Astyanax mexicanus: one gene and its partners. The protein of the gene in region 1 purifies or fractionates together with the protein of each later gene. This does not show direct contact. Links are inferred from orthologs where the notes say so. Each region holds a gene or a part of one and is shown in the gene's direction. Other genes may lie near its edges. The genes, in order: ilk, cct8, dpm1 and cad.

What was found.
Region 2: the proteins of ilk (region 1) and cct8 purify together in Homo sapiens (affinity purification with mass spectrometry; 4 studies listed by BioGRID and IntAct, with this or other methods). This does not show direct contact. The link is inferred for Astyanax mexicanus from reciprocal best matches to the Homo sapiens genes ILK and CCT8.
Region 3: the proteins of ilk (region 1) and dpm1 purify together in Homo sapiens (affinity purification with mass spectrometry; 3 studies listed by BioGRID and IntAct, with this or other methods). This does not show direct contact. The link is inferred for Astyanax mexicanus from reciprocal best matches to the Homo sapiens genes ILK and DPM1.
Region 4: the proteins of ilk (region 1) and cad purify together in Homo sapiens (affinity purification with mass spectrometry; 4 studies listed by BioGRID and IntAct, with this or other methods). This does not show direct contact. The link is inferred for Astyanax mexicanus from reciprocal best matches to the Homo sapiens genes ILK and CAD.

Annotation. Positions count from the first base shown.
Region 1 is NC_064427.1:35,781,417-35,789,328, reverse strand, and holds the start of ilk (integrin-linked protein kinase), read left to right. Parts: upstream 1-4,905; 5' UTR 4,906-5,033; intron 5,034-6,913; 5' UTR 6,914-7,051; coding exon 7,052-7,140; intron 7,141-7,912. Other genes in the region: timm10b (mitochondrial import inner membrane translocase subunit Tim10 B), read left to right, coding at 456-1,001. UniProt on the Homo sapiens protein: Scaffold protein which mediates protein-protein interactions during a range of cellular events including focal adhesion assembly, cell adhesion and cell migration.
Region 2 is NC_064427.1:36,574,932-36,582,684, reverse strand, and holds the start of cct8 (T-complex protein 1 subunit theta), read left to right. Parts: upstream 1-4,737; 5' UTR 4,738-4,839; coding exon 4,840-4,899; intron 4,900-6,278; coding exon 6,279-6,369; intron 6,370-6,477; coding exon 6,478-6,557; intron 6,558-7,753. UniProt on the Homo sapiens protein: Component of the chaperonin-containing T-complex (TRiC), a molecular chaperone complex that assists the folding of actin, tubulin and other proteins upon ATP hydrolysis.
Region 3 is NC_064420.1:35,198,475-35,206,377, forward strand, and holds the start of dpm1 (dolichol-phosphate mannosyltransferase subunit 1), read left to right. Parts: upstream 1-4,898; 5' UTR 4,899-4,946; coding exon 4,947-5,077; intron 5,078-5,996; coding exon 5,997-6,096; intron 6,097-6,390; coding exon 6,391-6,424; intron 6,425-6,578; coding exon 6,579-6,655; intron 6,656-6,760; coding exon 6,761-6,786; intron 6,787-6,927; coding exon 6,928-7,023; intron 7,024-7,553; coding exon 7,554-7,622; intron 7,623-7,715; coding exon 7,716-7,830; intron 7,831-7,903. Other genes in the region: collagen alpha-1(XX) chain, read left to right, coding at 66-137, 333-368, 465-531, 699-887, 1,845-1,922, 2,071-2,229, 2,314-2,342. UniProt on the Homo sapiens protein: Transfers mannose from GDP-mannose to dolichol monophosphate to form dolichol phosphate mannose (Dol-P-Man) which is the mannosyl donor in pathways leading to N-glycosylation, glycosyl phosphatidylinositol membrane anchoring, and O-mannosylation of proteins; catalytic subunit of the dolichol-phosphate mannose (DPM) synthase complex.
Region 4 is NC_064408.1:56,412,191-56,420,022, forward strand, and holds the start of cad (CAD protein), read left to right. Parts: upstream 1-4,832; 5' UTR 4,833-5,163; coding exon 5,164-5,257; intron 5,258-5,938; coding exon 5,939-6,078; intron 6,079-6,162; coding exon 6,163-6,292; intron 6,293-6,701; coding exon 6,702-6,844; intron 6,845-7,558; coding exon 7,559-7,700; intron 7,701-7,832. UniProt on the Homo sapiens protein: Multifunctional protein that encodes the first 3 enzymatic activities of the de novo pyrimidine pathway: carbamoylphosphate synthetase (CPSase; EC 6.3.5.5), aspartate transcarbamylase (ATCase; EC 2.1.3.2) and dihydroorotase (DHOase; EC 3.5.2.3).

The DNA of each region.
Region 1 (7,912 bases):
CCATCCAATATTTGTTTTTAAGAGACACACCCCAAAGCAGCCAGCAGACAGTGATTGAGGTGATTCCTTTTGTTGATGCGTTGCTCTGCGATTCAACTGGGCGAGCCGCTAACATTGATTTATTTTTGATAAAATTAAATTGACAGGCTTACCTTTTGGGAGATTGGTTTAGTTTATACTAGTCATCTATTCACAGTAACAAAAAAAAAAAAAACAACATTTCTTAATGTGAAATTGAGGTTCAGATTTCTACTGTATAAATCACAACATTTTTAATTACGTCCAAAACGTAGTTTCATATTTCATAAGTAGTTGATATGAATTTATAACCATCTAATTTAAATCTATTATTTTATTTCTGTTGCCATTATTGTAAATTCAGTCTGATTTACATTTCCTTTAAATTGTGAACCTGAAAATATGAACAGTCACTTACAAGTTGTTCTGATTTTCAGGAGCGCTGTGTAGACAACTGTGCTAGCAAATTAATCCGCTCCAATCATCGCCTCATGGGCACCTACGTGAAGCTGATGCCGGCGATGGTGCAGCGACGGATGGAGGAGATGGAGAGCAAGGCTGCAGAAGCAGCTAAAATGGAGGAGGCAGCTAGAACACCAGCGGAGCCGCTGGCTGGAGGTTTAGCGACAACGGGTCCAGCTTCAGCCGCGCTCTCTGCTGAACATGTGATGACGGCAGAAACGCCTGCTGCATCAGTATCATTTCCACCATTAGCTGCTGAGCCAATGCTAAGTGATCTGTCATCAGTCCCAGCACCAGCTACCGGTGGCACAGCCACTACCATTCCCTCTTTAGGACTGCAAACTGAAAATGTGTCATTGGTTCCATCGCTTGTTACAGAACCAACAACTCTGGGATCTTCAGAGGGAACTAGTTCTTCTATAAATTCAAATATAGCGCCAGGCATCCAGATAGACAAGTTGGCTCTAAAGCAGATCACACTAGACAGCAGCAGCACATCCACAGGTACAGGTTCATCATGACTATAGATTCATTGTTTAGAGATGTGTTTTGTTTTAAAACATTGAAGAATTTGAAAAGAAAATACAGATCTTATCATGTACTTCTAAGCAAATTATACTCATCTTAATAAAAACAATTGTACCTAAAGAAAGTGTCCGATTACAATGCTATTTAAAAGAAATACAGGTTATTAGGAACAATAAATTATTAATGTAGATTGATGCAAACTCTTGGTCATATTTATTGAGCTACACATATAGAAGTACCAGATTTCTCAACATTAGGTTAGAGAGATGTGGCAGACTGTGTGTAAAATATAGAGATGGTTGGATACTTTATTGGTCCCAAAGTAACTTTGGGCAGTCCTAATAATATAAATAATTAAAGTCTAAAGAACTTTCCCACTCACATCTGTTACAATCATGGTTCTTCTCTGGAATGACTCAAAAATGTATAGAAACACCTGTTTTTAAAAGTGTAGAAGCAGTTCAGGCAGCCACTTGTATGACTCTGACTGCCATTAATTTTGCTTTCGGTTTGAACTTTCAGTGTTCCTGTAATTTAGCAAAATTAGCTTAAAAAATAGCTTCATCTTCGGTATGATAAAATAGAAGATGCAGCCTTTTACTGTGTTGCCAATACAAAGTAAAGACTGTAAAAACATGCATTTTTCAAATGCATTCAAGAAAAATGAATAAATTATTAAAATGTCTGTTACTACATTGTGTGCTTTTTTTTTTTTTTTACAATTTTTGTTGTAACCTTTTCTTTGTTTCTTGGTAAAGGTATTTTGGAACATGATTTTATATCATTATAAATATAAATTATAAATATAATTTTATATCATTTTGTTAACTAATATAATAAACAGAATGTGGAATAATAGAATGGCTGTTGCACAGCAAGGGTTATGAAAAAAAAACACTGCTAGTCATTGTCATGACTGCTGGATAAAAACAACTTGCATAGAAATGTAAGGTACCATTCAGTTACAATAGTGCTTGAAACATTTTTTCTAAATATCTGCATAAATGTAACCTGAAATAAAAAAAAAAGAATAACAAGAACCAAATGGGTAACGAGAACAATTGAGTCAAAGATTAGTTGGTGTTCCTAATAGTTTAGGCTCCACCAATCCACAGGCAGACAGAATGTGTACAAATGGGAGATATTTAAGACAATTGTTATTTCCGTCCCCAGGAGTGATCAACCAGCAAATAACGCACCAAAAACAAGGAGTGTAACAGTCTGTGTGGTCACAAATGAACGCTGGGTAACTTCTAAGCAACTAAAGGCCTTTCTCACGTTGACTAATGTTAATGATCATGAATCCAAAAAGAATGTTGCTGCCTGTGTGGAGTTTGCTAAAGCTCACATTAACAAGCCAGAAAGCTATTGGAATAGACCTGACCTTAATCTAGCAGAAATGTTGCAGAAGGACATGAAGTAGAAATCCTCCTTCATAGTAGAAATGCAACCATTCATGTCTGAAACTCTAGGTCAACCAAGATTTTATTAAATGTTAAACATTTTTTTAAACTCTTTACAGCCTGCCATTAATCAGTATTTCAAATGCTCTAATGAGATCAAGAAAAAGTTTCCTACAGAGGCCACACAATACTATAATACCTTTTCTCAAGTCAGAATGTTCGGACTATATTCACAAGCTTGCACTGATAATTACAAAATGCATTGACCCAATAAAATATTAAGTCAAATGTAGATGTCAATCGACATCGATCTGGGGCTCCATGTAAAATCTCACCTCTTAATATGCCAACATTGTTTCAATGTCGTACGTTCAACCTTTAATTAACCATAGCTCACATTTGGGGCGCTTAAAATTGTATGAAAGAAGAAAAAATCTGTATGCCATGAAGAAAAATTAACAATTTTATTTTTAGTCTCTCTATATACTGAATATACATCTCTGAAAAGTAGGAACTGTACAACTACAAACAAAAAAGCTTTTATTGCTACAAGTAGAAAACGATCGAACCATTTAACATTAAATGTTGTTTTAACGATATTACTTCAACCATATGTCAACCACATTTTAACGATGTATAAATAAACGGAAGTTATATAAATGTATATAATTTATATCCTTTGTGATTTTCTAGATTTTATTTTTGATATTCCATCTCTTACTGATAAAACTTACCTACCCTTAAATAAGATATGGGACGTTCCAGGATTTTGGTACATTTCAGGGTGGTCAGGTGGTCACTTGTGAAAATTTGATCTTCAATTTGATCATTTTTAGTCATATATTTATTAAATACAGGTAATAGGCTATCAAAAAGTTTGATTTGTCAAGCTCAGGTATCAAAGCAGTTTTTTTTAATTAGATTATGCAATATATTTGGTAACTTAGAGTAACAGGGTTGCAAAGCTAGGCTAAGTTGTGGTTTACCCCAGGAACAGATGCTAACTGTAAAATATAGCGATAGATAGATAGATAGATAGATAGATAGATAGATAGATAGATAGATAGATAGATAGATAGATAGATAGATAGATAGATAGATAGATAGATAGATAGATAGATAGATAGATAGATAGATAGATAGATAGATAGATAGATAGATAGATAGATAGATAGATACTTTATTGATCCCCGAGGGGAAATTCTAGACATCCAGCAGCAGACACAAAGTTACAAATTGAATACACAAAGTTACAAAATAAAATATATAAAAGATAAAGATACATATAAATACAGTCAAATAAAAAAATAGAATGTACAATGTAAAAATGCAGTCTTTAGTGTGTCTGTAATGTAGAATGGAGGTAGTGCAGTTGAACAATAGACAGTGAACACCAGTTGATGTGCATAAAGTGAGGATAACTGATGTCAGCCATACAGAAAGTGCAAATAAACAGTTATATAATGATTTAAATTCAGCAGTGCAAAAGAGATAGTAGATGACAGTAGATGGATAAACTAGTGAATGAACTACTAGTGCAAAATAGGGTAGAACTATAAAAATAGTGTTATAGGCATCAGCAAATCTGAGAGTGTCTCCATAGCTGAGGGTGTGTCCATGAGTTGCCAGGGTGAAAAAGTGTCACAGAGTCTTTAGTTTGCTGTGCTGGGAGGAGTCTTATGGCCTGAGGGACAAAAGACTTTCGGAGTCTGTCTGAGGAGCATACATCTTCTATGTATAGAAGATCAAGGACAAACATGGTTATATAAGTATATAAAGTAAATTTTGACTCTACTCACTATTAGTCTTACAATATGAGTAACAGGGTTGCGTTCACTGGGTGACACACACAACTGTCCTTGTGATGTCACTTCCTTTGTGCCAGTAGACAAATATTTTTAACTCTTTCTCTGCCAGGTAAAATTCCTTATGGTAACAGGGTTGAGCGCATGTTGTGGGACACAACTTAATAGCATAAAAACTATACCAAAGAAGTTGTTTTCATAAGTAAAGGAGATGCATATCAACAATATACAAGAGGAAGTCATTTATTTAGAGCTTATTTTAATTGTTAAATTTGCCAAAGGAGTTGGTCACCCAATCTGTGGGACAAGAGATAACGGCCATTTTTTTTGAGGTGGTCCAAAGGTATTCGGTCTTTTGAATAATATCTAAGGAGCTTATTTTTCCACCATATTTTACAGTTTGTCTTATAACAAGTACATTTGTCACAAAATAGTCATTTAGATATTTTGGAAATGTAAATTTAAATTTAAGTGGTGGGACAGGAAATGTACCAAAATCCTGGAATGTCCCCTATATAGACTGTTCATCTCTTTCTCAGTGGGCAAACTTACTAAATGAAGCAAGGGATCAAATAATGATTTCCTTTACTGTAAAAAATCATTTCTCCAGGGCACTGTGTAAAATATATGACTGGAGGGCAGGTTGTGAGCTGGTTTCCAACAGAGGGCGATGAAACCGTGATTTCTGCAGGGAGCTCTTCCCTCCACAGAGAGAGGAGGACCTACAACCTCCGACTAGGGTGTGGACATTAGTGTCCGTCAGACTGCCCTTACCATCCCTGGAGCTTCGTCCCGGACTAAATTACAGTTTTACCAGGTAAAACCCGTGTTTTTATTTTATTTTATACGAGCGTTTACGGCGGTTTCACGGTGGTGTGGTGAGCTCTCCGCCCGCAGTTGCCTGTTTACGGTGCTAGCTCGCTAGCTAACACCCTAACCCAGCTAGCTTAGCGTATAGAGGCTAACTAGCTTAGCTAACTGTCTGCTAGCTGAGTGAAAACGCTAATGCTGTCTCAGTTTATTCTTCTAAAGTAGGTAAAGTGAGGGAAAACGTGCTATTTTCATTAAAAGATACACTTTAATTGAAAGAAGTGTAATTTTATTACATTTAGGTTGTACTATTTGCTTGTTAAATACCATAAAAGGGCTTGTGTCTGCTGTTTTCTCCTCTTTTTAACTACTAGCTGCTTTCTGGCTTTGAAAACGTCACCAGTCCTGAGTGAACACATAGCTGTTAGTTAGCTAGGTTATCCTAACTGACTGAATGTCTAGGCAGTGTTTTATTGTGTGATTAAATCAGAAAAGTGCTTAAACTGTTTACTTTCAGGTCCACACCCTTTAAAACATGTTTCTGAAGTATTATTAGTCTCTTATTACTCGAATGTAATGTTTTCTAGCTGTTTTCTGCTGGACTGTAGTCTGTAACTTAATTAGTTGGTGCAGTTAGTTGCAGTTAGTTGGTGTCATATAGAGTTAAATGGCTAAATGTATGTTTATGAGCACTGGCAGGTCTTTACACAGTCCTTGGCACACAGGTAGAACAGCAGGAGTAATGCCAAGACGTGTGTGTGTGTGTGTGTGTGTGTGTGTGTGTGTGTGTGTTGGAATGTGAGCTTCCCAAAGCAAGTTTTGGATTCCTTAAAATAAGGAATGGCAGGTCTTCTTTACACGGTCATTGGCACATAGGTTAGAGAGCAGGGGTGATGCCGAGAGAGAGAGAGAGAGAGAGAGAGAGAGAGTGTGTGTGTGTGTGTGTGTGTGTGTGTGTGTGTGTGTGTGTGTGTGTGTATGTATGTGTGTATGTATGTGTGTATGTGTGTGTGTTGGAATGTGAGCGTCCCAAAGCAAGGAAAAGTCATGCACTCCTTAAGGAATAGCAGGTCTTCTTTACACACTCGAGAGTGTGTGTGTGTTAGGGATGTAAGAAAATATTGATAATGCATTGTATCATGATATTTTGTTTTCAACAACAACAAAAAAAAAAAACACTATATAGCAGCTGCACTCATTAGATCCCACTAGAACTGGGTGATATTATAAAAAAGTAATTTAATTAATCAAATGAATTGGATTAACATCCCAATAATACATCCCAGTGTTCTTATTTGATAAAAAGTAAACTTTTCTTGTATTTAGTATCAGTAAATATGATTTTATGTTTTTTATTTCCTTTCCAATTTTGATTTAAACATTTGTATGGCAGTATTTTGCAGTATATGTAGTATCGTATCCCCTGTATCACAATCAGTATCATATTATCAGGTGCTTACCAATACACAGCCCTAGTCTGTGTGAGAGATTTGCAATATAAGTTTTCAAATTAAGAAACTAATTTTGACTCCTTAAGGGATGAGTATGTGTGTTTGGGAAAGGCTAGTGATATTGGCTGGGAGCTGAGGTTTATTATAGGAAAAAAAAAAACTGTACCGTGGACCATACAGTCAGATGTTTGTGTTTAACAGATTTCCAAGCTTTCCTACTTTAAAAGTTGTTGGATGGACAGCAAGCTATTTTTAAAGTTCTCTTGACCCTAAAAGCCCTGAGGGGCAGTAACTTCTGGGTCATTCAACCTTTTCTACTAAACAGATTAGAAAAAAAAATGTTTGGCTGTGCTTAAGATGTCAATTATATAGTCATAGTGTATGCCATATATTCCCATTGTATCCTATGCTAACAGTCTCTTTTCCCCCTTTCCAGACGGCCTGCACCGTAACTGAATGGTCCACTGCCCTTCACTTGTGGCATCTAGGTACCACTGCATCACACCCCTCTCCCAGGGCGCTCCTGGTAGGGGAAGAAGGATTCTACCAGTACGAAGAGTGAGGGGGAGCTGCAATGGATGATATCTTCACCCAGTGCAGAGAGGGCAATGCCGTAGCAGTCCGCCTCTGGCTGGACAACACTGAGAATGACCTAAACCAGGGGTGAGTTGACTCCTGAATGCACTAAATATCTGCAAAAATGAATTATAGCTTAAACGCTGCTGACCAGCTATCAGGAATTGAAGTGAAGAGTCACAATTATGACAAAATACAGTCATCGCTTATTTTTGAGGTAATGAATGGGTTCTTAAGAGCCTGCATAATCACAACACTAATCTTGACAGTATTTCCTCTTTGAACTGAAACCTTCCTTAGTTCTTCAGCGTACCTCTGACTCTTACTGTTATCTCAGGTTTTAATCTTTCCGGAAGGCTGCTCCCTTTTTTTTTGACTTGGTCTGTTCATGTCAGGCTTTTTTCAGTGTTGTTTTATCTGATTGTGAGGGATTGAGGTTGAGCAGTGTTGTTTAACTCAACAGATTAAGACATAATAGCCTCAGTTTGGAATGATGTCAGGTGTGATGTCTCCTGTTTCCAGTGTGGGTTAGGTCTACATATATGTAAATATTTTGTTCTTTAGTTTCCTACAAAATTTGGTATCAAGAAGATCTGCTATAAAATGTGGTTCATGTTTTGAGAGGATTTTAAGCTGCTGGGTTCTTTTAAATTTTTTTCCCTAAATGTCCTGTACATCTCTCGTATGCGCTCATGAGCTCTGCATGTTCCTGCGGTTTGGGGAGTGGCTTTGTAAGGAGGTCTGAAGGTAGAGTGTGTAGAAAGTGTGTACCACATAACCCCACCTTGTGATAAGGAATAGGGTTGAATGGTTGTATATGATGCCTCATGATGTCCATAAACATTCTTAAAATATAAAT
Region 2 (7,753 bases), about 790 kb from region 1:
TATGTTAGTTATAGCAAACAGCTATATAGAAATATATATATACAGAATAATGCAAAATAATGTGTGAGAGTGTCAAACTAATAATTTAATTAGCTGGCATAGCCTAGAGCTTGCAAACACCCTTTTACAATAGTGGCTAACAAATGAATCTTTTATCTTATTGTCTTATTCTGAGGTAAAATAAGTCTTACCTGGCTTTGGAAATGTATTTCTGAGAAACTTCTTGAAAAAAAAAGTTTTAAGTTTAAAAGATTTAGATAAGCCTCTTTCCATAAACACCAAAACACAACAACAAATGAATCATATCGGCAGCTCTTCAGCAGAAGAGTCAGTGTTTGAGGGTTGCTGTATGTGTGTGTGTGTGTGTGTAAGAGAGAGAGAGAGAGAGAGAGAATGTGTGTGTAAAACAGAGAGGGAGAGAATGTGTGTGTGTGTGTGTGTGTGTGTGTGTGTGTGTGTGTGTGTGTGAGAGAGAGAGAGAGAGAGAGAGAGAGAATGTGTGTCTGCCCACTAGGATCTAACCCTGCTGGGAGTCCCTCAGATGTCGCCACTAAACTGGGCTCTGAGTGACATTAGGCAAGAAAAATGTCCACCGTTAAGATCAGCACAGAGTATCCCAGACACCAAGTGAGTGATGCAAGTGTTTTGAAATTAGGCCATCTCTCTGAAACTGACCCTCATCTTTCTTTCTTTCTTTTTTTTCTTTCTTTCTTCCAAACCTATCATTATTTATTATTTACTTTTTCTTAGGGATGCACCAAAATTATTGGAAAAAGAAATGAAAAAAAAAAGGCAAAAAAAAAAAAAAAACACTTTTGTATTCAGCCAAAAAGTGAAGAGACAGAATAATTTATACTAGAGTTTAAATTGTCTGCCTGTTCCAAACCTGAATTCTGGCTTGGTTGGGTTTAAGAAAATAATTGGTAACCCGGCCTACGTTTTTTAATGCTGTTCTTTTTTGTTTCTAAAGCTATAGCATAGTGCTGGGCAGTATACCGGTTCATATGGTATTCCATACGGCAATTTAAAACCAGTATACATTTTTCACATACCACCATACCACTAGAGGCGCTGTGTAGAAGCACACAGTGTATACTGAGCCCAGTCCCAGTCATGCATAAAAATAAATAAATAAATAAAAATACCGTGATATACCATGAAAATACTGTGATATACATTTTTGGTCATACCGCCCAGCATTAGCGTGATATAGTATATCACAAGCTCCTCCACTCGTCCACAATTGAAGTACAGGCACCTTATATACACTCTGCAAGTGACTAAAACTTGTATAACCAGAATAAACCAGCCTTTACTGTAACTATTACTATTTCCTATAACAGGCCTATGATTTTTCCCTGTTGCACTGTTCATGAACACCATTCTGAACAGATTTCGCTTATGGCCTGCAGGGAGCATGGAAGAAAGTAATGTTCTAAAACATTAGAAAGAGCAGCTCTCAATCAAGTCTCTGGCTTCCTCACCCAAAATGACCTCCTGGACCAGAACCAATCTGGTTTCAAGAAAGGGCACTCTACTGAGACGGCTCTGTTGTCTGTGACAGAAGCGTTAAAAACTGCTAGAGCTGCAGGACAGTCCTCAGTGCTCATTCTGCTGGACCTCTCGGCTGCTTTCGACACAGTCAACCATGACTTCCTCCTAACTATACTCTCGAACATGGGGATCTCAGACAATGCGCTGTCATGGTTCAGATCGTACCTCACTGGGCGCTCGTTCAGGGTGTCATGGCAAGGACGGCTGTCCCCAGCCCACTCGTTACCCACTGGGGTTCCCCAGGGTTCGGTACTGGGACCTCTTCTCTTCTCAATATACACCACCTCTCTAGGTCGGGTTATCCGCTCACATGGTTTTTCCTACCACTGCTTTGCCGACGACACTCAGCTATACCTGTCATTCTTACCTGAAGATCACTCAATCTCTGCACGGATATCACAGTGTCTCTCAGACATATCCTCATGGATGAAGGAGCATCACCTTCACCTGATATCTCAAAGACTGAACTTCTGGTCATACCAGCAAAACCTTCTATTCAACACAACTTTGCCATAACCATCGACTCTCTCTCTCTCTCACCGACAAAGGTTGCTAGGAACCTGGGTGTCATGGTTGATGACCAGCTTCTCTTCACGCACCATGTGGCCTCAGTTGCTCGATCCTGCCGCTTTGCGCTTTACAACATCGGAAAAATTCGACCGTTTCTGACGCAACAGGCCACCCAACTCCTGGTACAAGCTGTGGTAATCTCACGCCTCGACTACTGCAATGCCGTACTAACTGGCCTCCCGGCCTGCGTAGTAAAACCACTACAGATGATTCAGAACGCAGCAGCACGTTTGGTCTTCAACCAGCCAAAACGGGCACATGTCACTCCGCTGCTCATTGAGCTCCACTGGCTACCGGTTGCTGCTCGCATCAAATTCAAAGTGCTTACAATCGCCTACAAGGTGATGACAGTACAGGCTCCTTCCTACCTGTACTCGCTCCTGAAGGCCTACGCTACCTCCCGGCCGCTGCGCTCCTCCAATGAACGTCGCCTCGCTTTGCCAAACATTCACACAAAGCAATCCAGACTGTTCTCATACAGAGTTCCCCAATGGTGGAACAAACTACCTTCTACTACCAGATCAGGAGAATCTCTCACTATCTTTAATAAACTCCTGAAGACAGAGCTCTTCAAAGAGCACTTACTCTCCTAACACCTCTAACAAACTAACTAATTCTAACCTCAGCTCCTTCTTCCTCTCCTTCACTCCTCTATCCTATTATTTCCCTCTGACCTCCTTAAGGCCCTATCTATAGATGCTTTATTTTTAACTTCTATTATTTTTGTACTTAACCTCTTCTATTATTTGCACTTCAATATTGTAAGTCGCTTTGGACAAAAGCGTCTGCCAAATGTAATGTAATGTAATGTAGATAGGGAGCAAATAAACGGCAGGTTCAAGTTCATTTGTACACTCTACTCATATAAAATAAATCAGTTATCATGCTTGGTATCAGTTTAGTCAGTTTGCTACCTTTTCTCAAATGTCTGTTTTCAGCTGAAATACACAATCTCTACATTCATTCATTTCTGTGTCTCAATATGGCTTTTATTTAATGTGGTCCTGTTTAGTTGGCTTCTTGTACTGAAGATGGTAAGTAGCAAAAACTGTTATGAATACCATACAATGGTAAAAAACAAAAAAAGGCAAACTGAATAAAAACCTAAAACAAAACAACATTTGATTTTTTTTATTGTTTAATTTTGTACAGTTTTAGATAAAAAGTTCATTTCAGTGCATTAATACTATTTATTGGCATGCGTTTGAGCAGAATGGACATTTTTTAATTTTGAGCATTTAAAACAATTTAGATTTATTGTAAACAAATTGTATTTAGAACATTTATTTGTACAAATTACAACAACTTTTTTTTCAGAAATCAAATAATGCAAAGAAATATTCCTATATGAACAACACAACACAAATGTTTTGATTTTGAGAGGATTTAATAAACACTAATCACAGCTCACATGTATGGACATCATGTACTCTGACAGACTTTCACATTACTATTGGTTGATATAATGTTGTTCCTAGAACATAAATTCTATAAGCTCAGCTTGATGGAATGACTGTAATGAAATGGCTTTCATATGTGTAGCGATGCTGACTTAAGGAAAAGATTGGAGAGATCTCTTTTTTTTGTACAGCTGTATATACAATAATTGGTGTGACACAGTGTTCATATATTACACAAATTACACAACCTAAAAAAGTTAAATTAAGTTTTAAAATATACCATTCATCCATAGACCACACAGTCTGTACATATAGGATCTATAAGCTGCTGTGGCTTTTTAAATTTATTTATTTATTTTTTTTTGCTCTATCACTGTTACAACTCCTCATCATAATCTTCCTTCTTATTGCAGCAGCTGCTGTTGTTCTGTGGTTTTCTTGTTTCCAGTGAGCAGTTCTTTTATTGGCCACCAGGGGGTGCACAATCTCCCTCAGTGATGAATTACAATAAACTTCACGATACATTACTTGACTAAAAACTTTTCAGGCGTCTTTTTACTTCCAATTCTTACCTTATTACACAATTACAATTACAATTAAGTTCTACTAAGAATAGCTGTGTTATTGCTATTACATTTAAGCTTGTTTTAATTGTTAAATAAAAAACCTTTTTTATCTGGATAGAGTGAATTTAGCATCCCAAACGTTCTTACATTACCATTTTTAACATAACATCATAGTTATTATGGCTTTTAGGAAAACTTTATTTTGGGGAGGGGGGTAGTGCACTATAGGACCCTGTGGCACAGCCTAAGCTTTTGCCCTTAATGGCATTTTCCCCCTTACATTACTTTTACTTTTATACTTTAAATAGTTTTGAAACCAGTACTTTTACACCTTTACTTGAGTAAAACGCTTTAGTTGTAGAATAGTGCAAATTCTACAGAAGTATTTTAAACCCTAGTTTCTGTACTTCTACCTATCGAGAATCAAATAGTATTATTATTATTATTATTATTTTGGATGGGGGTTGTCCAAGTCCAAATTAAAACAAAAATATATAATTTTGCTAACTTTGTATGTCTGGTAAATCAATCCAGACAGAAAACAACTGTAAAGACTGTTGACAGAGGCCGGTAGTTTGGCTAGTTAGATTGATTCGTAGCTCGATTAGTCCTCCTGTATTTCTGAGCCTCCCTCTATCGGTGATCGACCCTCGTCCTGTCTTTCTTAGCCGCACGCTGTTCGGGTTGTGCTGCAGCGGCTCTCATTATCTCCATCAGTTCAGCCTCCGCGGGGCTCTCAGACTCTCAGCATGGCCCTCCACGTCCCCAAAGCGCCGGGCTTCGCCCAGATGTTGAAGGACGGCGCTAAGGTGGGTTTACCGGCTGAAATAGAGGCTGAGCGGAGTGATTATCGGGGCGGGAGCGGCAGCGGCAACGGCAACGCCGCCGGTAGTTAGCCTAGCGTAGCCTAGCTTAGCATAGCTTAGCACAGCGTGCCGAAATACGGATCATGTGGGTGGAGGATTCTAGAACATGAGCTCCAGACTCCCTTAGTTTACTGAGCGCTTTACCCAAAAATCTGCCCTTATTTGGGTAATTTGTGACAAGTGAGCTCTGTTTATTGCAGTGACCGGGACAGAGTCCCGAATACAATAATAATAATAACAACCACCAGTATTTATTATCGTATTAGCCATAAACTAAGCTTTTTTATTCAGCTGCTATCTAACTTAGCCTAGCTAAGCTAGGTTAGCTACTGTTAAGAGCCGATTAGCCCAGTGACAGAAATGTCCATTAACACCAACCAGCTTACTAATCTAACGTTAGTTACATTTTAAAGGCAGTGTGTTGAACTTTTTTTTGTATTCATAATGTTAATTTTATAGTTTATTGTTTTAAAAGGTTCAGCTAGCTAAATGTTCAGTGTAGAGACCCACCCTTTTGCCATAAACATATTGATGCCAAGATCAAAGCAGCTAAGCACATGTAGGTTAGTTAATGTGGCAGATCAATGTTATCAGTCAAGATTTGACTTTATCTTAACCCTCTATGGCATGGTGTTGCCCTAGTGCAAAAAAAAAAAAAAAAAACACTTTTTGGATGATTACAGAAAATACAATAATGAAATATGTGTATGTGCATCAATATCTAATAAAATATATTTAGATATTTAATTTTCTCACTTTAAATCAGTGCTTAAAATTGTTCTCCTAAATAAAATAAATACCACAGAGAAATAACTAATTTTAACTAATGAACTAAACTCATTTCAACAGAGTTTATGGTGACATGTATCACAGACCCTTCAAATGCTGTGTAAAGTTCTTTCCATCACTGAGAGCATAACTACAGGACAGTGCGTGATTGTGTGTTTTATTAATCTGGCTTTATTTACAGAATGTGGATGTGCTGGGATAGTGCTGTACCTTCTGTTAAATTGATTTACAAAGGTGTTCCATTTAAAATCTTTAAGTGTTTTATGCTCTATATAACTCGTCATTAAAATGTAAGTTATGAAATTGTAATTGTTTCGTTTGTTACAGCAGGATTTATTCTTAAATTTTTAAGTCATGTGAGGGAAAAAAAAACATTAATTCGCTGTTAATTGAATTTCAACTTGTCATCAAAATTTTGCTTTTATTGGTTAATTATAATCACAGCAGATTTGAATTCAGTAATTGTGTCATTTTTCTTTGTACAAATTTGTAATATGTGCTGAAAAAACTCTGTCTTTGGCTTCTCTATTCAGCATTATTCAGGTCTCGAGGAAGCCGTTTTCAGAAATATCCAGGCATGCAAGGAGCTGGCACAGACCACAAGAACTGCATACGGACCTAATGGTAAAAAGTGTTTACCTTAATCAAGATGCTAAGCTTCATTGGGAAATTGAACTGCTTTGTATAACTGATTTCAATTTTTTCTTTTCTTATTCTTATGTATTATTTTAGGAATGAACAAAATGGTCATCAACCACTTGGAGAAACTGTTTGTAACCAATGACGCAGCCACCATTCTAAGAGAGCTTGAGGTGAGTTTTGTTCTTGAGACTTAAAATCTACTGATATTCCTTTGATTTAGCTGATTAAACAGTTAAGTTAAGCAGTCCTGTGTGGATCCCCGTTGAAGCTGCTCGGTGTCAGGAAGCTGAAGATACTCATTTAAGGAAGCCTGTGTTCTTGACTCACTCGTCAGCAGCCACTTAGTGCTACAGACCATGCTAAGGGTTCAGCTCAGTCTGGAGAGTTTTTGCTGTTCCTTGCAGCTCATGTTTGGAACTAATGTACCTTGTGGTGGAAAGAAAATAAATGTTTTAACCCCACTATCCACATAATACCACTCTTCTCAGTACATCTTTCAGCCCAATCAATGAGTAGCAGAGCTAGCTCTCCACCTAACACAGTTGAGATAAGCACGAAAACAATTTTCTCTTTTTTTCACCCTGAGCTCCACAGTGCAGTTCTTTACGGGTAATCACGGACTGTCTGAGCTGTACCAAGTTTCCTAGCATCTATGTGGCATTATTGTGGCATTTGGCCCCACCCAAGATCAATATCTGTGATGGGCCAATCGAGCAGAAAAAGAATCACCTAATCCTAAGCGTTGCATTCCCACATTCTTTGTTTAGTCTTCGTCTCGTCTGAACCAAATTGATCTGAAAGGTGCAACAAACCACTATTCAATGCCTAAAGACCAAAAAAAGGTGGCTTCAGTCCAGGTCAATAGAACCATAGACTGGTTCATTTGCATTGTAAAAGCAGTGTCTTGGGTTTATTGGATTTTTTGACTTCTTACCACATATATCCCCATGGCAGTGTCCTAGCGTTAAGCCTCCTTTCCCATGTCACAATGCAGGAAGTTAAGGCAGACCGTTGTCGGCCACTTAATAATAGCAACAACAGAAGAAGATAAAGAATTCGTGCTGTGATTAAATCTGACTCCCCCTTACGTTCACATACATCATGCTGCAGTATAGGCAGAGAGGATTACTCTGGCGATTACTTTACCGACTGTAACTGTAAATCATTATTGATGAACAAAAAAGGACATGAATTAGTTCTGTTACAAACACATAGGTGGGGGATCTCAACAGTATGAATCAAACATTTTTTTAAGGCGCTTAATGAATACATACTGGACCAAACCTATACTATGTGATGCACACAGTGACCTTGCTCTTAGGTGTAAAAAAATCCCTAAATGTGGTGATGACAAACCTGTGTTTTC
Region 3 (7,903 bases), on another chromosome or scaffold:
TTTGCATAGAGTGACATAGAGAACATTGCCTTCTGTTGAATCTTTCTGGTATCTGTTTCTCATAGGGTTTCCAGGGAATGCCTGGCCACCCAGGGCCAGCCGGAGAGAGGGGGCCACTTGGATCTGTCGGGCCGACAGTGAGTAAATAAAGTATACCATGGTATAGATTATAACGTTGATTAGATAAACTGTATGGCTTAATACATATTCATACTGCTGGCAGGAATATTATATTAATTAATAGGCATTTCATAATGTTTTATCACAGTCATGGCGTTCTCAATTTGTAGTATGTAATCTTGTAATTAATAATGTCCATCTCTTTTTTTTAGGGGCTTCCTGGAAGTAAAGGAGAGAGAGGAGAGAAGGTGAGTTAAAGCTGTTGTGCATGGCACCATTGTATATTAAAAAATAAACATTTGATTGTGTTTTGTGAGATTGTTTTATTGTACTTTGTTTTACAGGGAGAGCCACAGTCTCTTGCCATCATTTACCAGCTCGTCACACAGGCCTGTGAGAAGCTAGTGCACAGTATGTGATGACCTCACACTGTCTTTTCTTCACATTTTTTGTGTCTTTATGTCAGAGGTTACAAAGTTAATATGATCCATATAGCATTTATAGTGATGCTTAGATCAGAACTCTTACAGTTCATGCTAGTTCTTACAGTGTTCGTATGTTATGTCACTGTGCTTTAGATGAAGTGCTAAAGATAGACGCCTTCCTAAATGAGATCAGTCGGAACCCCGTGCCCATCCAGGAGCCAGTCGGGCCTCCAGGTGAGCCTGGAATCCCAGGAGGGAAAGGACCCCCTGGGCCCAGAGGCCCACCGGGACGGCAGGGAGACCGAGGAGAATCAGGAAAACCAGGATACCCTGGCGAGCAGGGTGAGACATTATATAACTTTATAAAGATGATTATTCAACATTAAAATAAGTGATAAATCAAAATGTGCAGAATTTGTCTCTTTACACAACACATTAGAGATGAGGCTGCAAAGATAATGCATGTAATGTTAGTAAACTAGTTTTTATAGACACTATTTGACCACTAGTTTAATAGTATATGTACAACGTGCTTAAATTGGGCTGGACAATAATGCAGAATCAAAATATATCCCTATAAAAGATGTTTCAGTAATGATGATTTGATTTTAATACACATTTTTTGTTAGCTGGCAGCTACATGCTAGTGTTTCCGAGCCTAACTGAGAGTAGAGAAAACTATGAATATAATACACATATACACTATTTAACATGTGCAGTAACATTTACCGTATTTTTTGGACTATAAGGTGCACCTAAAATCCTTTACTTTCCCCAAAGATCATCAGTGCACCTTATACTCTGGTGCGCCTTATGTATGAATTTTACTGCTCAGGTTGTAAGGAGCTGGAAAGCCACTTCGCTTAGTTTTTCAGCAACGTTAGCATTAGCTCCTTACCGTGCTAGCTCATTGGCCATTCAGAGGTGAGTATTATTGGCCTGTAGCCTGCTGGCATCCCTAACTAGCACTGCCAGAGCAGCATTAGCATTAGCCGCTAACCACAGCACTAGCTCCTTCGTTGTTCAGAGGTGAGTATATTGAACTGAAGCCTGGAAGTTTACTGTGTTAAAAAAGCGAGTTGTGCGTATATTAGTAATATCGCCCTGCCTTACCGGATCACTCAGGGTTCCTTATTCTAGCTCTGTCCGGTGGCATTAGCGGCTAACCGCTAGTGGTTAGCGAGTAATCCAGCTGGGAAAAACACTTAGCATCGCATATTTCTATCATCAATACTTTTTACAGTCTATGTTAGAAACACTTTTCTTCCCCAGATTCCTAATTCTGCTTTAAATCCTCAGGAAGAAGAGGTGCATCTGGAGCTAAAGGAGCTCCAGGGATTAACGTTCAAGGTCCACAAGGATCAAAGGGTTTTGCAGGTATCTAATGTGAATATAGATCTATAAATGTTTTGGTTTTATGATCTATTTAAAGACATTAGTTAATACAGTTCGGGTATTGACTCCTTCATACTTTGTTTGCCCCTTAACAACCACTGTTTGATTCTGTTTGTGTGTAATACAAAAGGACCCCCTGGAGAAGCAAAGGTAGGGATGCAAGGGCCTAGAGGTGACGATGGTAATCAAGGTGCTCCTGGTCTTCCTGGGCTGGTGGGTCAGCCAGGTGAGATGGGGCCCCCTGGAGCGTGTGACAGTAGTGGCTGCCATCGAGGAGACCCTCTAGCAGGTACATAAAAAGGCTTCCTATACATCATCACATGTCCTACTGTGAATAATGCGTTTTCTCATTACATCTTTAATGACTTTACAGAGGATCCATACTTCGGATACCAGCCTTGATTGGAATAACATTGAGAGAACTGTTTTGCCGATCAGTTAAACACTGAGTCCTGAATCCTGAGTGCTTGCTCTCTCCCAGAAGAAGTAAAAGGGGCACTACTGGGTGGAATAGAGGAAAAATGGGCTGGCATGCAAAGGACATGTTTTAAAATCCCGCTCACTGTGTGACACAGCTGATGTAAACGACATCAGACTTCCAGCTTATCTTCATCTTTTAATTCTCCAGGAACTCTGGTTGCCCTTCATTATGTGTCAGTAATTTTTTTCACTTCTTTTATTTTTGTTTTATGTCTAATTATACTGTCCAGTTCCATGAATCACTAGAGTCTTAAGCAGGACTCATTTTGTGATGTATTAATTTCGATATTACAATAAAGAAGGGTCCCTCGTCATTTCATTTACATTTAAAGGGGAATATAGCCATTTTTGTTGTGAAAAGAGCATCTGTTTACTAAATAATGACAATTTCGCACTGAGAATGTTTTTAAAGCAATTTTATCAATGCTGTGGTTTATTGTGTTGTATTTATATATATATTTTTTAATATGTTGAAGGCATACTACCACTTCTTTGGTTTCCCTGATTTACTGCCTCCAAAACTGACATTTACTGTATAAAAATGTGATGAAAGAAAATACACTGTGATCATATTGTAATGTCTTGCTGTCCTTCATAAGCATAATGCCTGTTCTGTTTGAATCTGCACATTGAATTCTTGTGTTACAATTAACACTTTATTACATTTACTGTATTTAAATGTCTAAAACTGAATTACTGACTGTTGTGTTTTTTATATGTCTAAGCTTTTATAAACCACATTTGTTTGTGTGTGCATGTGTTTGTGTGTGAGATAAAGAGAGAGGGAGAGCACAGGTAATTAGTTATGTACCTATAAAAAAAAACAAATTATATTTAAAAGAAATTAATAAAATGTTTTTTTTTTCATATCACATTTGCCTGTGTCAACACATTTTCCTGATATAAATATGTAACAGAAATGTATATAGACCTGTTCTGTTCTGTATATGAAAGTGAATACATGAGAATAGAGTAAATGTTATCAGAGATATTAAAATAGACGCTGTTAAGAACTATTTAAAATAATTAATTTATTTTAGACCAGAGCTGCCCGAGCGTGGCCTGATACCCAACCCAAACTCAGGTCGACATATCCCACCGCTTTCCTTGGATCCTGTCGGGTGGGGCTAAAGAAAACTGTCTGTGACGTAGGCCTACTTTTATTAATGTTATATATTATTTTATATAAAGCTATGGCTTTATAATCACAATATAGCAAAGTTACAAATCAAACTCTGATCGTAAAAAAAGGTAGACAGGTGTGAGGTCCCCAAATTTGTCGGCAATAGACTTCATTTGGAGCTCCATTCTTAACATATAGTTTTTTTTACAATAGGCCTACTGTTTTTCCGTGTTGCACTGTTAATTAACATCACTCTGAATAGATTTCACTCATTAAGACAACTCAGAATCATAGGTAAAAAGATTTAGCACTGTACATACAAAAAAAATATGCAGTCAAGCTTTACCAATAATTGGCAATGAGTCTTTCACATATCTGTAAAGAAATTGTGGCTCGCTCTTCTTTCCAGAATTGTTTTCCTTCAGCCACTGAAGGAATATTTACCCAAGTCCTGAGGATATTCAAGATGTTTTTTTTGGCAAGTGTGAGATCGGCCCCTGTGTTCTTTTTGGTCAGCAGTGTTTTTTGCCTTGGAACTCCCATGGAGACCATTTTTGTCCAGTCTTTTTCCTATTATTGAATCATTAACACTGACCTTAACTAAGGCCAGTGAGACCTGCAGTTCTTTAAATGTTGTTCTGTGTTCTTTTGTGACCTCCTGGATGAGTCGTCCATGTCCTTTTGGAGTAATTTCAGTTGGCCGGACGGCCACTCCTAGGAGGGTTCGACATTGGACCATGTTTTATCCATTAGTGAACAATAGCTCTCACTGTGGTCTGTATTAGATTTTTTTCAGATTGAGATCTTTTATCCAGCTTCATTTTGTCAGACAGTAATGAGGCCTGGGTGTGGTTAGTGAAACTGAACTCAGCTTTCCACAATGTGTGAATAATCACAGTTAATTTATGGGGGGGGGGGGGGGGGGCAAACAATTTTTCACAAAGAGCTGGATTGTTTTGGATAACTTTTCCTTAATAAATAAAATTAGAATTTAGAAAATACTTTTTTATATTTACTGAGGTTATATTTGTTGGATATTAAAGTTAGTTTGATAATGTTAAAAATGCAGTATGACAAAAGAAAGAGAATCTGTAAATCTGTAAAAACTCCACTGTAGAATAGTACTATTTCTCTTGCATCATTCATAAACTTCCCTATTCTGTTGAGTGGGTTTAGATGGCCGGTTCAAAAAGAACAGTAATATTAATTTCCTATAACTTCCAAAATCACATTAAGCAGATAACTACACAGGCTTGTCTGATTCAGAAATTGTTTAGTAGTCTGTTCTCAGCTACAGCTGTCCCGGAACTCAGCCCTGGACTGAGTGTAGGAACTAAAAGCGGGAGCGCGGGTTTCACCGGGCAGCTGTCCGCGCGCACATCCGCCGTGTAGTTCTGCCCAACATGGCAGGATCTAAGAGTAAGAAGAAGAACAGAGAGGAGGCTGATAAATACTCCGTCCTGTTACCGACCTACAACGAGCGGGAGAACCTGCCCCTGATCGTTTGGCTGCTGGTGAAGTACTTTGGGGAAAGGTGAGTGTTAATAGGAGGTGGAAACAGAGCTAATGCTAATGCTAGCCGGCTCAGAGCTGCCAGATAAAGATGAGCTGTCACTGAAGTGCTGTTTACACTCCTCAGCTAAAACACAGCTAATAAAACTCTATATCCATTATTATTTCGACTTCTGCATACTTCACACTTTGAGATTTAACATAAAAACATAGTCATTGAGAGTATACAATTATTATTAGATGAATTGTGGAGAAACCTGAGATAAATTTACAATGGGGTGTTGTGAGAATAAGGTCTTTAAATACATATTAGTTAGTATTTGCATCTCAAATAATTTGAATATTATTGGAAAGTTGTTGATGATTATGGCTTACAACCAATGAAAACCCAAAAATCCGAGTCTCAAAATCAGAAAAATTAGATCATATAAGACCTATTGGTACTTTTGGCAGTGTGGGCAATGTGCCAAGTTCTGCTGGAAAATGAAATCTGCATCTCCATTAAAGTTGTCAGCAGAGGAAAGCATGAAACCATTTTCTGGGAAAACACTGCACTGACTTTGGACTTGATATAACACAGTGGACCAACACCAGCAGATGACATGGCTGTCTAAACCATCACTGATCATCAGTACATTTTGTATTTCATTTGTAAGTCAAGGGACCAATGTCTGAAACAAGAGTGGAGAGACACACAGTCCAAGCTTCTTGAGGTCTAGTTTAAAGTTTCAGTTAATCAGTGACGGTTTGGAGAGCCTATATGTGCTCACATTTAAACACACAAACTTTAAACACAATTGTGACATTGTCCAGCTGTAGTGTAGGATTATAATGTATGATTGTAGTTATAAATATAATGTAATCTAATCTAGTCCATTCCCCTAGTTTCCTATTTATAGCCTAAAACTAAAGCCCTTCACTCTCATTTTAATTTTGTACAGTGGATACAACTACGAGATTATAGTCATCGATGATGGAAGCCCTGATGGGACACTCCAGATCGCAGAGCAGTTACAGAAAATTTACGGAGAAGATAAGATTGTAAGTTGAAGTTTATATCTGGGTTGTGTGGTGGGCTTATGTCATTAATACTTGTAGCAGAAATTAACAATACAATACCCTTTCTTTTGATTTACTGTCACTGGTCATTTTTATAAGTCAGTCTGTGACATATATAGTTATATGCATCTGTTCAAATATTGTACACTATTGCACATATACATGGTTTTTAAATAATCCTCACTGCTGTAGAGTATGAGCTTTTTAAAAATGAAAATGTAATATTACTTATACTGTCCTGAGAATCTAATCAAAGTGTGTGTTTCTTTCTTGAAGGTCCTGAGACCAAGAGAAAAGAAATTGGGTTTAGGTGAGCCAAAATACATTTTTCTTTTTCTTATTGGTGTGACATGCATTTAGATTAATTTGTTAAATTCTGTTAAATTTCTGTAGCAAGTGAAAAGTGGGTTTGAGGTCTGGAGAGAAAACTAAATTGTGTTTTTTCTTTCAATTATGTTTTTCAGGAACAGCATACATCCATGGCATTAAGCATGCCACTGGGAACTTCATTATTATTATGGATGCAGATCTTTCTCATCATGTAACTAAATAATTGCTGCTATTTTCTTATTGTTCTTTATTATCTGATATCTTTTTTAATTGTTTTAGGCAGTGCATAAGTTAACTATTTCTTCTTTACCTGCAGCCCAAGTTTATCCCAGAATTTATCAAGTAAGTAAAAACTACTGTAACGTTATGCATGTTTAAATACAGAGATCTATTACTGAACTAGTTTGACCTGTATTCCAATTGTTTTTTTGTGTGTTTCTGTATTTCTGTGCTGACCACTGGAATTTTTTTGTTGTTGTGTAGGAAACAGAAAGAAGGAGGATATGATCTAGTGTCTGGAACACGGTACAGAGGAGATGGCGGTGTGTATGGATGGGACCTGCGGCGAAAGCTCATTAGGTAACTAATTAATAACCTGTGTCCTACACCACTCTGTTTTGTGCCCTCCCTTAAATATTTGTTAAACCATGTTGCCTATTAACCATATTGAAGCTGAGTAGCCAAAACATGTTTGAAATGTTTCAAAAATGATTAATTATTTTAAAAAGCTTTAATGACAGACCCTTATTTAGACACTGAAGCTAAAACTAGAACTTCACTATCTTCAATCAGAAAACTTGGTACTGTTATGCTTTAAAACACTTTAAAATAACTATTGGGTGCATTTAAACTTGGGCTTGGCTTGGCCTCTTCCAGATATAATCCTGATACTCACTTTTAAGCAAAGATTAGATGGGTTACCGTCTCTGTTAGGAACATTAGTTTAGTTCTTTCTGTTATAAGCTAATAATAAAAACATGGCTTTGAATTATTTGCTTCCTCATAGGTTAAAACTGAGTAAGACTAGCCTGAGTAAGACTAGCCTTTTAAAAGTTTTAAAAATATCATTATATGGTCTCATTTTCTTCCATGCTCTTACATCTCTCTAGCCGTGGGGCAAATTTCGTCACACAGGTGCTGTTGAGGCCTGGAGCATCAGATCTGACAGGAAGTTTTAGGTATGTGGTACAACATGGTATTATCATAATTACTGATCTCTGTGTAAACAGCAGGATGTACTGTTGCTTACAACGATTGTTTTATTTTCTCAGGCTTTATAAGAAGGATGTGCTGGAGCGTCTGGTAGAGCGCTGTGTGTCTAAGGGCTATGTGTTCCAGATGGAGATGATTGTTCGTGCTAGACAACTAGGCTACTCCATTGGGGAGGTCAGTCCACCTGTACTTTACATTACATGGTTATTTTATATCTTGCTTTCATATTGAACTGAACTATACTGTT
Region 4 (7,832 bases), on another chromosome or scaffold:
TTGTCAAATGATAGTATTAAAAGGTTTACATTCTATTGTGACTACTTCTGAAATAAATATTATGAAATATAACTAATACCTCTTCACTTGCACAATTGTTTCAGCAGGTGGCACCAAAGTTGGACAATTATAAATGTTAATGTCTAAATATTTGAGTTGTATTTTTAACTAATTTTTGTTTAATGTTATTTTTTTTCTTCTAATAAATTTTTTATTTATCTGTTTCTTGCTGAATCTTTGTTGTAACAATATCAATTACTTCCAATACCTTGTTTACTTTGAAAAGCTCTTAGTGTTTTGCAAATGAGCCTTTATGTAAACCAAAGCAAAAATTTCTTGATGAAATCTAACGGTTGCTGAAAATACTGACTAGGTGTGGACTGCACACATCAAGTTATATCAAGTCTAACCAACATGACATACTACAACTATGATATTGGTCAATTTAACCATTGCTGATTTGTAGCAACAGTTTTTTGTGAATTAATTTCAATAGCTTTTGAACCGTTGAGGGTATCACAACAGAACAAGTTGTATTAGATCAAGTCCCACCCACATGACATACTACAACTCTGATATTGGTCAATTTAACCCTTGCTGATTTGTAGCAAAAGGTTTTTGTGAATTAATTTCAATAGCTTTTGAACCGTTGAGGGTATCACAACAGAACAAGTTGTATTAGATCAAGTCCCACCCACGTGACATACTACAACTCTGATATTGGTCAAATTAACCCTTGCTGATTTGTAGCAACAGGTTTTTTGTGAATTAATTTCAATAGCTTTTGAACCGTTGAGGGTATCACAACAGAACAAGTTGTATTAGATCAAGTCCCGCCCATATGACATACTACAACTCTGATATTGGTCAATTTAACCCTTGCTGATTTGTAGCAACAGTTTTTTGTGAATTAATTTCAATAGCTTTTGAACCGTTGAGGGTATCACAACAGAACAAGTTGTATTAGATCAAGTCCCACCCACGTGACATACTACAACTCTGATATTGGTCAATTTAACCCTTGCTGATTTGTAGCAAAAGGTTTTTGTGAATTAATTTCAATAGCTTTTGAACCGTTGAGGGTATCACAACAGAACAAGTTGTATTAGATCAAGTCCCACCCACGTGACATACTACAACTCTGATATTGGTCAAATTAACCCTTGCTGATTTGTTGCAACAGGTTTTTTGTGAATTAATTTCAATAGCTTTTGAACCGTTGAGGGTATCACAACAGAACAAGTTGTATTAGATCAAGTCCCACCCATATGACATACTACAACTCTGATATTGGTCAATTTAACCCTTGCTGATTTGTAGCAACAGTTTTTTGTGAATTAATTTCAATAGCTTTTGAACCGTTGAGGGTATCACAACAGAACAAGTTGTATTAGATCAAGTCCCACCCATATGACATACTACAACTCTGATATTGGTCAATTTAACCCTTGCTGATTTGTAGCAACAGTTTTTTGTGAATTAATTTCAATAGCTTTTGAACCGTTGAGGGTATCACAACAGAACAAGTTGTATTAGATCAAGTCCCACCCACATGACATACTACAACTCTGATATTGGTCAAATTAACCCTTGCTGATTTGTAGCAACAGGTTTTTTGTGAATTAATTTCAATAGCTTTTGAACCGTTGAGGGTATCACAACAGAACAAGTTGTATTAGATCAAGTCCCACCCACATGACATACTACAACTCTGATATTGGTCAATTTAACCCTTGCTGATTTGTAGCAACAGGTTTTTTGTGAATTAATTTCAATAGCTTTTGAACCGTTGAGGGTATCACAACAGAACAAGGATTAATTTGACCAATATCAGAGTTGTAGTATGTCATGTGGGTGGGACTTGATCTAATACAACTTGTTCTGTATCAATAACCTTAACGGTTCAAAAGCTATTAAAATTAATTAACAAAAAACTGTTGCTACAAATCAGCAAGGGTTAAATTGACCAATATCAGAGTTGTAGTATGTCATATGGGTGGGACTTGATCTAATACAACTTGTTCTGTTGTGATACCCTCAACGGTTCAAAAGCTATTGAAATTAATTCACAAAAAACCTGTTGCTACAAATCAGCAAGGGTTAAATTGACCAATATCAGAGTTGTAGTATGTCATGTGGGTGGGACTTGATCTAATACAACTTGTTCTGTTGTGATACCCTCAACGGTTCAAAAGCTATTGAAATTAATTCACAAAAAACTGTTGCTACAAATCAGCAAGGGTTAAATTGACCAATATCAGAGTTGTAGTATGTCATATGGGTGGGACTTGATCTAATACAACTTGTTCTGTTGTGATACCCTCAACGGTTCAAAAGCTATTGAAATTAATTCACAAAAAACCTGTTGCAACAAATCAGCAAGGGTTAATTTGACCAATATCAGAGTTGTAGTATGTCACGTGGGTGGGACTTGATCTAATACAACTTGTTCTGTTGTGATACCCTCAACGGTTCAAAAGCTATTGAAATTAATTCACAAAAACCTTTTGCTACAAATCAGCAAGGGTTAAATTGACCAATATCAGAGTTGTAGTATGTCACGTGGGTGGGACTTGATCTAATACAACTTGTTCTGTTGTGATACCCTCAACGGTTCAAAAGCTATTGAAATTAATTCACAAAAAACCTGTTGCAACAAATCAGCAAGGGTTAATTTGACCAATATCAGAGTTGTAGTATGTCACGTGGGTGGGACTTGATCTAATACAACTTGTTCTGTTGTGATACCCTCAACGGTTCAAAAGCTATTGAAATTAATTCACAAAAACCTTTTGCTACAAATCAGCAAGGGTTAAATTGACCAATATCAGAGTTGTAGTATGTCATGTGGGTGGGACTTGATCTAATACAACTTGTTCTGTTGTGATACCCTCAACGGTTCAAAAGCTATTGAAATTAATTCACAAAAAACCTGTTGCTACAAATCAGCAAGGGTTAAATTGACCAATATCAGAGTTGTAGTATGTCATGTGGGTGGGACTTGATCTAATACAACTTGTTCTGTTGTGATACCCTCAACGGTTCAAAAGCTATTGAAATTAATTCACAAAAAACCTGTTGCTACAAATCAGCAAGGGTTAAATTGACCAATATCAGAGTTGTAGTATGTCATGTGGGTGGGACTTGATCTAATACAACTTGTTCTGTTGTGATACCCTCAACGGTTCAAAAGCTATTGAAATTAATTCACAAAAAACTGTTGCTACAAATCAGCAATGGTTAAATTGACCAATATCATAGTTGTAGTATGTCATGTTGGTTAGACTTGATATAACTTGATGTGTGCAGTCCACACCTAGTCAGTATTTTCAGCAACCGTTAGATTTCATCAAGAAATTTTTGCTTTGGTTTACATAAAGGCTCATTTGCAAAACACTAAGAGCTTTTCAAAGTAAACAAGGTATTGGAAGTAATTGATATTGTTACAACAAAGATTCAGCAAGAAACAGATAAATAAAAAATTTATTAGAAGAAAAAAAATAACATTAAACAAAAATTAGTTAAAAATACAACTCAAATATTTAGACAGTAACATTTATAATTGTCCAACTTTGGTGCCACCTGCTGAAACAATTGTGCAAGTGAAGAGGTATTAGTTATATTTCATAATATTTATTTCAGAAGTAGTCACAATAGAATGTAAACCTTTTAATACTATCATTTGACAATTCTTACATGGTTTAATTACGGTTCTGTATACTCAACTAAAATTAAACAAACCAATGGTTACTACCCACCAATGACAGTATTACTATCAACAGTAAAACAGAAAAAGAAACCCTGAAAGCCCTCTGTTGAACTGCAGGTCAAATGACAGTAAGACTTGCAAAATGGGCTACAAGTGATTATTTGATAAAATATATACTCAGTTGAAACTTTGTCACAAAATCAGAATGAAATACTTTATGAAATATTTTTTAAAAAGGTTTTTTAAAAACAGTTACAAATTGAACAAAAAATGAGTGTAACCTTTATATTTTTAGATTGTTTTTAACAAAACAATTATTATAAAAAAATATTGTCAGGAACTCCTGAAGTCTTGTCATTTGTGACCAGCTAAAAACACTAAAGTACACTACACTTTCATATAATGAAGCATAAAGCATTTGCCCCGCCCATCTTCATTCGCCTTTTTGCTGTGTCGAGTAGTTTGTAGACGGTCCCTTAGCTCTCGTGCAGGTCGCGGCAGCCCATAGACGACAATGTGTTCTGTGGTTTTCTAAAGGCAGATGTTTGAGAGGGGAAAGACGTTGTAGCTGCTTGCTTTGGATGTCAGCATATAAAATAAGCAAGTATTAACCATTTTGCACACACAGTTCAAAAGCTATTGAAGAAAGAAATCCGAATATGCGAATATGAAACCAACTTTACCGGAGTCAAGAAGCACATGCTCAGAAAAAAAAAATAACATCATTAACACAAAGCTAAAATTGTATTTTGTACTCCTGTTGTGAAATGAACACTCATTACACTCATTGTGTACAACTATTGTTGTCTTTGTCTAAAGGTTTATGGGCATTTTAAACCCGTGGACGCGTATCTGTGGATTTTTTTTTCATAATCCTAAACCAAACCAAACCAAATGTATGAGTGGACTGTTCTATTGGTGAATAAAAACAGTTGCTTCTGCAGTGCTTTTTCGCACAGCTGTGTACTGAGTGTTGAAACCAGTAGATATTGTTGTGTTGTTATCTGAAGATACTGTGTTGAAACAGAAAAGAATCAGCTCTTTCCTGAATGAAAAATCACTACCGGGCCTGTCTTTCTTCGCCCCTCCCCCGGGGCGGAGTGTCGCGGAGCTGGGCTCTAGATTTAAGGCGCTGCGCTGGGGCGGCGGGTTTCCACGCTGCTGTGGCTCCGGACAGGGCGGTGTGGACTCGGGCTGCTGCTTCACGTTATTCTTTACAGACATCGGGAAAGGAGAACAGTTTCGTAAGACTCTACTCGTCCACAGTCGTGACCTCCTCCTCCTCCTGTGTGCTGAAAGCGCTCCGCCGCACACATACCGATTATCACGTGGGTCTATCGTCTCCACGAAAGAGGAGAAAAGTCGACGCCGTGGCAGTTAAAAAAACTCTGCTCCACCACCAGAGTACCCCATCTGCTGAGCGCTCTGTGTCCAGGCTTTAACTAGCTGTAAATATGTCGGCGAAAATGGCATCTTTGGTCCTAGAAGACGGAACCACGTTTAAAGGCCGCCTGTTCGGGGCCAGTGCCTCGGTATCTGGTGAAGTTGGTAAGTCGCTGGTTGCTTGGCGGAACACCGTGTTTACAGAGGGGCCTGATAGCCGGATTTACTCCGGTCGTGGCCCCTTGTCACACTAAAACGGCTGTAGTGTGAGGATAGAAGCAGCAGCAGCGATGCTAACTGCGTAGCTAGCCTGAGGGCTCTTACTGAGCTCCACGTGTCCTTCCTTCGCGCCGGATTGTTGAAAGACGAGCAGACGCGCTCATCCGCTGAGCTACAGCCTGTCCCCATACCTAGAGACCAGAGAAATAACCAGCACTCTTACATCTGTAGATCAGAGTAGATGATCTTGCAACATACATGATGAGTAAATCCAGTATTTCCACGCTTTATTTATCAGTTTATATAGCTAAACAGCTGACCAGCCTGAACTCGCGACTCTTTAGATGTTTGTGGCAGGTCCAGTGTGGTTATAAAATAAGTCCAGCTGTTTCTGTTTACAGTGTTTTCCACTCTGGTTATATTGTAAGAAACTAAGTCCAGTGTAAAGGTGTTCTAGCTAAGGTACGAAACGTTTTATAAGAATGCGCACAGACCTAATGTCCGTCCCATTTAATTTTAAATTCACTTATGACGCTTTCTATTAAAACATCTGTTGAGTAAGCAGGAATGCATGTAGGACAAAAAGTGTGATCATCTTTAACATTAACTGTCTTTACACCTTTTCAGTTTTCCAGACAGGAATGGTTGGCTATCCAGAAGCACTTACTGACCCTTCATATAAATCTCAGATATTGACTTTAACCTACCCACTAATCGGGAACTATGGTGTGCCCAGTGACGAGGATGGTGAATTTGGCATCAGCAAGGTGAATAATAATTTGCATATTTTTAAATTATGGCAAATTGCTTGTCAAATAGCAATTTAACTCTTTCAACATTTTTCTCTGTAGTGGTTTGAGTCTTCTAGGATCCACGCCACTGCGCTTATTGTTGGTGAACTTTCTCAGAATCCCAGTCATTGGAGTTCAGTCAAATCTCTAGATCAGTGGCTCAAAGAGCAAGGCATCCCAGGACTAGAGGGTAAGATAATAAGTTTTCTTGAAGAACATACATGCATCCCTTTACCCTGACACTCTGCGCCTTTTAGTAACTGTACTATATTAAACCCAGATCAGTATTAAGCAACATGGTTTGAATGTTGAATTTCTAATAACATTAATATTTACATGTATAAAGTTAGAGAAGCTAATTTACATAACAGAACTCTACTCTGCTATTCAGTTATCTATTGAATTGAATCAATAAATTTGGACTGCTCCTGACTTTTCCTCTAAAAGCAGGTTATACTCATAATATAGCTTTAATTTATTCTGCAATAGTGGATTTCTATGTATTGTGATGTTAAGTGGAGTAAGCAGGTCTGGCCCCTCTGCTTTTTTTATAACCTGCTTGCCATGTTCTACATGCTGTTGATGTTTTTGCAAAATAGGAGTTGACACCCGTTGTTTGACTAAGAAGATCAGAGAAAAGGGAACCATGCTTGGAAAACTTGTGGTTGAAGGGACACCTGCGGAGAACATCCTGTTTGACAATCCTGACAGTCGGAACTTGGTGAAAGAAGTGTCCGTAAAAGTATGGATTGACAAATAATATTTGCAGTATACCCTTTTCATAAATTATCAGCATTGATTTGTTTTCCCTCCCTTTTACCACAGTACATTTCAAACTTGAGTATTTTACTTTATACTACACTACATTATAGAATGTCATTACATTTTGTGAAAATACAGAATGCCAAAACAAAAGAATCATGAAGCAAGTGACCCAATTCAGGGTGCAGCATAGTTTTGCCTTTTTGGACATAGCTGCCTATACGGATTAACATTTTATAAAACAGTTTGAACATTTGGAAATACATGTTCCTACATTAAATCATTTAATATATGGGCTGTATATAGAAAGTATAGTAAGGAATCTATGTGACCCAAAGCCAGTTGATCCCTAAAAAGTAGTATAGTAATAAAGTAGCAAATAAATCTTAATAGACATCCGTGTCTGACTGATCATGACATTCTATTAAATTATTGCTGTCTTTGCAACTAAAAAAGTTGATTAAGGAGGAGTCTTGTTACATTATGATCATAGGACATAAGGGCTATAATAAATCATGATTTATTTACTTTTGGTACATTTCAGTGCAAATACTTTTGTACTTTTACTCAATAAGAGTTTTAAAGAGTACTTGGGGAATTTCTACTTTTACTCAGGGTCTTGATTTTTGTACTTTGTCCACAATCATCACTCCAGATTCATTACTGAAAGCTCTGTAAATTTGCTTTTTTCCAGAAGCCCAGGGTTTACAATCCAGATGGTAATTTAAGGATCCTAGCAGTGGACTGTGGTATTAAGTACAATCAGATCCGCTGCCTATGCCAGCGAGGTGCGCAGGTCACATTGGTGCCCTGGGATTACCCTCTGGATGTTTGTGGTGAGCAACTATTTGTAATAAATGTAAAATTATTAGTTCATACAAAGATTATTTGTATTTAGAAAAATCATATGAATTAAATTTGATTTTGTTATACAAATTTAAAATAATTTGTACAAAGAGTGAGCTTTT